Bombyx mori: one gene and its partner. The protein of the gene in region 1 purifies or fractionates together with the protein of each later gene. This does not show direct contact. Links are inferred from orthologs where the notes say so. Each region holds a gene or a part of one and is shown in the gene's direction. Other genes may lie near its edges.

Region 1 (4,079 bases):
TGAGTACGCACGGGTAGGTACCACCGTACCGCCTATTTCTGCCGTGAAGCAGTAATGCGTTTCGTTTGAAGGGTGGGGCAGCCGTTGTAACTATACTGAGACCTTAGAACTTATATCTCAAGGTGTGTGGCGCATTTACGTTGTTGATGTCTATGGGTTCCAGTAACCACTTAACACCAGGTGGGCTGTGAGCTCGTCCACACATCTGGCAACAAAAAAAAAAAAACTACCGAAACATCAGAAATTTTCCACAGCTAATTTATGACATGTCATTTCGAGTGAGCGCACCAATATGGAGCTTTATCGTTTTGAGAAATTTCTTAAAATATGTGTTTTATTTACAGGATGGCAGAATATAAATTTAAAGACATAATTCTTGAAATTTGCGTCTCGAAAGTAGTTGAAAGTAAAATTCTTTCTTCTAAGGTTTCAACTATTAGGAAAAAAAAATTGACAGGCTATAGAAGAAATTTCTAAAAGAAAAACGTTCCTGTACATGAAAACGAGAACTGCCGGTTCATTAGCCCGTTGGAATTACAGCGTGTGGAAATGATAACTGGTGGTAGGACCTCTTGTGAGTCCGCACGGGTAGGTACCACCGCCCCGCCTATTTCTGCCGTGAAGCAGTAATGCGTTTCGGTTTGAAGGGTGGGGCAGTCGTTGTGACTATACTGAGACCTTAGAACTATATCTCAAGGTGTGTGGTGCATTTACGTTGTAGATGTCTATGGGCTCCAGTAACCACTTAACACCAGGTGGGCTGTGAGCTCGTCCACATATCTAAGCAATAAAAAAAAAATAAAAAAATAAAAAATTACAAAACCCACTGAAGCCGACACGAAATATGTCCTACCACTAGTAATACGAGATTGGCGACAGAACTATGCGCTGAGAATACTGCTGCTTTTTCTGTAGTGAATCTGTTTTATGTGGGATTCGTGTTTATGAACTTCGATTTTCAATTTACAAAAATCCTGTTCTGCTTTAAGGCATAATAAGTTATTTAGTTATATTATTTATTGTGGTATAATTAAAAAAATTAACATTTACATTCTAACTTTAATTTCACCTTCTACAGCAGACAAAAATCTCATATATTTACGAGGCGCCTCATACAGTTGGAAGCTTTGGGTTCGTGATTTCGTGCCTGTCTATGCGTGCCTGATTCTAATGCGTAATTATTTCATGTTTAGTTTCTGTATTCTTGGTGTTTTGTGGCTTAAAGGAATAGAACGCAGGGCTCCATCCATGAAATGTCTTGACTTCAATTGTCTTATCGATGGTTAAACGTTTAATCTATGAATAAAATATAAAGGACCTGGAACGCCGGCTGAAATCTATTTTTCAGAATTTCTTATCCCAAGTAAAACTGTGTTTTAGTCAGTAATTTAATAAAAAGTACAGAGCTTTAGTAAGAGGTTATTGACTAAAATGGAAAACGAAATATTGGACTCACTTAGCGACTTGAGGTATGTACGGTTATAATTTTTTGTAGGTTTGATCAAGTTAAAATCACCGGTTCTATTATTTTCACTTAAAAATGTTCTTTAAAATGGATAAATTAAGAAACTTTAAAACGACACGTTAGCGTTACCGAAAAACATTTCGCAATATGGTAAATTCAGAATTAATATTGACAGATTCAGTTGGTTTGACTATTTCGATATTCTTCGTTGACAACATAGAATTCCTTAACCTAACGAATACTATTACCTATCTACGAGTATATATAACCTAGCGTTTTTAAGCAATCACGATCAGAAAAAAAGCGGACCATTTTTTTTTTTTTCGGTGTTCCCTCGTCTTATACATAACTAAACCTACTCTCACAGTTCAGTCGTGTATGACCACGAAAACTGTAAAGTGTTCCATATGTCGGAAACAATATAATCACAATAAAAACGCTAGATTAACCATAAAAGTAGTTTTATGTAGTAGTATTGTGAATAATGGTTTTTCTACCTAAAAGAGGTACAATTTACAGTCTTCCACTAGTCTATTTCGTTAATCCTACATGATATATTTCCTTCCTTTAATATATCTTTCTCTTAATATAAAAGCATTGATTTCAATTTTATTTTAGTTTTTTTTTTATAAATACATGTCTATATTAACAGACCTTTAATGTATTAAATTAACCAAGTATGTCATTTGATCTGTAATTTTTTGTGTAAGACAAGTCATAAAACATTAGAAAAAATTTTAAGCTATGAAGGCCCACTCTCCGAAGAAGCTGTCTTTGCAAAGGCTATTGAGGGAGGTGCCAAGTCCCTTGACTTCACCAAACTTGTGCATATATTGGCTGAAGAGTTGAAGAATCTCTGTCACCTCGAAGAGACTGTAAACATGATTAATGATCCAGACGATTCAAGCTCTTTCCTGCTGGAACTTAGTTCATTTTTGAAAGAATTGGGATGTCCCTACAAGAAATTGGTAACAGGTGTGTAATTATTAAACATTAATCACCAATATCTATATATATAAAAATGAATTGCTGTTCATTAGTCTCGCTAAAACTCGAAAACGGCTGGACCAATTTGGCTAATTTTGGTCTTGAATTATTTGTGGAAGTCCAGAGAAAGTTTAAAAGGTAGATAAATATTAAAATGCTTGGAATTAAATGAAAATAACAATTTAGTTTTCCCTTTGATGGGTCTCCCGTTGGACGGATTCCTTTTGTTTGTTTTAAGTTTATACAAAAGCTTAGCTCTTTTATTTATCGATTGAGGCACTACGAAGTCTGCTGGGTCAGCTAGTAATACATAAAATAGAGAGGGTAATCAAAATATTTTTACTTACATAGTCACAATGATTTATTAAATAGTTATTTAATAGTTAGTACCAGTATTCAGAAGCAATTTTATAGCCTGTGGTCTACTAGGGTGTGGTTACAATTATCATTTAAACCAGAGTCAGAATGATGATACCTAGTTTGATGTTATCATGACCTACAGGATAAGTCATCTGGTACATCGGTATTGAACAATGTGATTGTGCCATTTCTTAAATACTACAACATGGTACCAATTTTTCTAATGTAACTAACACACATTCACGAATGATTTCCGTGATGAAGAAATAACAGTGTAATAAAAGTGAAACCTGCAACAATTATAATTTGGATAATAAATGATGGTCAGTGGTGGTCAGGTGGTCTGAATCACCACTGGCTGTGCTTGCAGTAAGGGCTGTTAGTTCAACAACCTTAATGGATTTGTATAATAATAAACTATTAAACTATGTTCAAACAGGTCATATGTCATCTCGACTACAATCTAAAGACGATCGTCTGTTACTGCTTGATTACCTGATCTCCGAGCTCATGGCAGCTAGAATGGTGAATGTAGATCGTCCACAAGATAAGGGCTCAGGCATGGAGATTGTTATGGTATATACTTAATCATTTAATTTCAACCATTTATTTTGAATTAAGATTATGCTGTGTAATTAAAATAGGGCTTTAAGTTTGGAGTCATTATGATCGCCAAATATTTTTGTTCAAGTCTAAATCTTGCATAAACTGGGTGGCCGTCCTTATTCTTGATCTCTTTGGGAGCATATAATTTGCTCAATGCAGAAAATATATTATCTTTAACAGCTACAGTTTATTTAAAAAAACTGAAATTCTAGTCTTCAACAACCATACACTAATTTTCAGCGTGAATCTCCAACAGCCAAAGATCTCAAAGATATATTGATTACTCTAAAATTCAACAAACCACCACCGAATATCACTCCAGAAGTGCTATTCTCCAAGCTGGAAGGAAAGTTAAAGGATACCATACAAAAGGAAGGTAAAAATATATATTTATTTTTGTAATCGAATACATATTGCATATATTAAATTGCTTATAATAAAATACTTTACAGTTTTACTAGATAAGTAGGTAGGCAGCGGCTTGGCTATGCCCCTGGCATTGCTGAAGTCCATGGGCGACGGTGACAACTCATCATCAGGTGGGCCGGATGGTCATCTGCCTACAAGGGCAATAAAAAAAAAGATTTTATATTTTTGATTGATTTAAAAATTTTACTATTTCATTTGATTGATGACATGAGTTATATAATAACATTGATGC
Region 2 (3,373 bases), on another chromosome or scaffold:
TAAGCCTACTGGGGAAACCACGTTAAAAAAACGCGCTAAGTACACTACCTCATAGGTGTCGTGGAAACGTGTGCTATGTGAACCCTCTGACTAGCTAATTTTTGATCTATCTTTAACTGAACACCTGGGATTTGTGATTTACCTTTTAAAAAAGATGGCATATTTATACTAATTCCTTTAGGGGCAAACAGATCCTGTACATTAAAACCTCTGTCTGCGATAATACTATCTCCAGAATCACAAATCTGGAGCAGCTTACTTCGTTCTAGTATCTGTCGATCACTTGCAGAACCAGCGTAGCCGTTTAAAACATATGATAATAATCCCCCTGGTGAAGCTCCTACCAAAAATTTCACGGTATTTTTATGTTTATAACAACTAAATGACGCTATTTGAGCATCAGGTTGACTAGGCTTCTGTATGCCTATTTCAGTCCCATATATAATCACCCTTGTGGAGGGATAATGTGTTCTAAAACAATTAGGCATATAATAATTTAATAAGCTGCGGCTAGGGCAAATGTCAATTAGGCTCTAGATATCACTGACAAAATTTATCCATGTTACAACAATATTAGACACTTCAGTTTTACTTAATTCAAAATCTGTTGTGTTTCTTCTAAGCTTAATTAGTAACATTAAAAATTGATCTTCTCTTGATATGCCGACCACTCTACTCCAGCGAGTTTTTATAGTCAGATTCCACAAAGTGTTTACGACATAACCTCGAATTTTTTGTGGGAGTACTTTTTTCGTGTCAAATGGCCTTTAACCGCAGTCTTCCAATTTTCTTGTCCTTCGAGAATTGATGTACTCCAATTTCTGAGGATATTGGCACAAAACAACGCGTCATTGTGCTTAAAATAATTTTTAATCAAAAGTTCCAATACAAATATTGAATGTTATGGGAACAATGCACACCAGCGCCACTTTGACAGTAGCCAACCCCATTTATTTCGCTCATCTAAAAGAAGCAGTTGATCGGAGTGTTACACTAATTTAAGTGTGAATTATTTTTTGTTGCGTTATAATAAAAAAATAATACAATTTCAATTATCTAATGTCTTAGATCTACTCATTTTGGTACAAATCAAATGGTTTTTGTTGAAAAGATTAATTATTCGATATTTCGATCTCAGATCGCGTTCCTAATGTCAATTGTCAAATATTGGTCTCTACCATAGATTATACACTTATGTCTACTATCTATGCTATCGTCATGTCGAATTGCATTTGGTTAATTTTGTGAAATTTACTACAATTTGCTATCTAAAAACTTACAGTTTTTTAACAATGTCAAATTTATTTAAATTGAAACTAAGTGCATTAGGTCATCCAAATCCAGAGTTCTTTAACTGCGAAGGTTTTGTTTAATTTGATGACCCGTTCGTTAAAACTCGTGAGTGAAGATTGTAAATAACAAGTCTCTGCAATTTTTAGATGAGAAGGAGTACAGAAGTGTGGTGCTGTGGTTAGAAGATCAAAAAATAAGGCATTACAAAATTGAGGACCGAGAAGGGTTGAGAAATATTGATTCCGATTTCTGGAAGGAGGCATACAATACGTATCAGAAAGATTTGGTGAGTCCAGCGGCAGAAGGGACGCTGAATGAACAACTCAATTGGCTATTGTCGTATGCGGTGCGGTTGGAATACGCGGATAATGGTAAACAGAAAATTTTAATTAAATATTTCATGTCAAATTATTTCTTTACTTGCTACCGTATTTTTCTTTTTTAATACTTAGACATTTAAACAAGCTCATTGCCCAATTGATATTAAGTCGTTACGGGAGCATACAGAGATAACTTGAATGCTGCATGTTTGAGACATGAAGTCTAAGACTCCATTAAAACATAGCAATTATTCCACCCTTCAGACTAGAACACAAGGCTCTCCTCTGCGTCATAAATAGGCAGGGTGGTGGTGTTTACCCATGTGGGTTTACAAAATGCTCTATGATCAGTAATCATCAAAATTTATAAGAATGTCTAATTTTATTTTACAGTTGACAAATATAAAAATGCTAAAGTTGAAGAGAAAAAGAAAGCTCCCAATGTCGTGTCTTCTAATCCATTAGACAATCTGGACTGTAAGTACATCCATAATAAAATTTAGAAAAACATTTTAATTTCTAACTATCAAAAACTAATTTTGTAATTACAATTAAATAATTAAACTTGTTTAAATAATTGCCAACAAGAATTGAATTTGTTACTAATGGTTCTAAAATTTTATTAATATGTTAGCTTAGATTATCTTGATTCTTCTTTATTTCTAATGCTTTTAATATTCCAAACTTCAACTTCAATTCTTTAATAAAATTCCGTTGAGGCCCTGATCTCTATACTCATCACGTTTCTTTGGTGATCTTTGGTAATATTCCAAATCTATTTTCAGTCTCAAGTCAAGCATTCAAAGCAGGTGTCAACAGAGTCTGTACAGTAGCGAGCATTGGTCCTCATCCAGATCCTAAAATAAGACTTGCTGCCTTAGCCAAAGTACTGAAAACTTCTCCGCATCCGGAACCCCTACAAACTGAAGTCAATTTAGTTAATCAACCCTCAGATGTGTTAAAGTTACTGTTTGTTCAGGATCTTAGAAATTTACAAACAAAAATTAATGAAGCTTTAGTTGCTGTCCAAACTGTTACTGCTGACCCTCGAACTGATACCAAACTCGGTCGAGTAGGAAGATAAAATGTTCTTCACTAAAATTTTGTAAAATTATCTTAACATTTTCTTCACGAAATCACAATGGCGAAGAACTGAAGCTATTGTTTTTATACTATGTTATGTAAAACCATATTAAAATGATAATAATTGATCTGCTGAGTACTAAAAATAAACTGTGCATTAAATTTCGTTTTTTCATTTAGATTTTTATTTTTATTTGGGTTATACCAATTTAACTTTAGTCTTATTCACTTTTTTATTGTTAAGATGTATGTAATGTAAACCTGAGGCTTGTGGTCTAAGTCTTATTGGTGGTCGTTCTACACTTCAAACCAGAATGACCAGAATGACTTATTATTATATACTAGTTATTATGGGTAGTGTTGGTATGTTGTTGGCATGTGCAGGCTCACAAGGCTCCCCTGTACCACCCATAAAATTGGTTTAGTTTTATTTGTTGGTGTTGTAAGCAGACCAGCAAACATCTAGTAGCTGCTTAATACTACATAGATTAGTAAGTTACAGCAATAACAAGATAACTGAAAAAGTTTTAAATTGAAATATGTACTCTTTTTATCTTATGTTTCTGTAGAATGTTCAGAATGTTAATTACATAATAATTCGTAAGTTTTATAATCAAGGATGTGTAAAAATAAATTTGATAAACATCAAAATTAAATATTCTTGGTAGTGAAGGAAT

The links.
Region 2: the proteins of protein FAM98A (region 1) and RNA transcription, translation and transport factor protein purify together in Homo sapiens (affinity purification with mass spectrometry; 4 studies listed by BioGRID and IntAct, with this or other methods). This does not show direct contact. The link is inferred for Bombyx mori from reciprocal best matches to the Homo sapiens genes FAM98A and RTRAF.

The regions. Positions count from the first base shown.
Region 1 is NC_085130.1:5,588,750-5,592,828, reverse strand, and holds the start of protein FAM98A, read left to right. Parts: upstream 1-1,265; 5' UTR 1,266-1,431; coding exon 1,432-1,469; intron 1,470-2,207; coding exon 2,208-2,440; intron 2,441-3,251; coding exon 3,252-3,388; intron 3,389-3,658; coding exon 3,659-3,794; intron 3,795-4,079. UniProt on the Homo sapiens protein: Positively stimulates PRMT1-induced protein arginine methylation. Involved in skeletal homeostasis. Positively regulates lysosome peripheral distribution and ruffled border formation in osteoclasts.
Region 2 is NC_085119.1:4,409,202-4,412,574, forward strand, and holds RNA transcription, translation and transport factor protein, read left to right. Parts: upstream 1-1,141; 5' UTR 1,142-1,292; coding exon 1,293-1,362; intron 1,363-1,439; coding exon 1,440-1,664; intron 1,665-2,006; coding exon 2,007-2,090; intron 2,091-2,398; coding exon 2,399-2,697; 3' UTR 2,698-2,858; downstream 2,859-3,373. UniProt on the Homo sapiens protein: RNA-binding protein involved in modulation of mRNA transcription by Polymerase II. Component of the tRNA-splicing ligase complex and is required for tRNA ligation.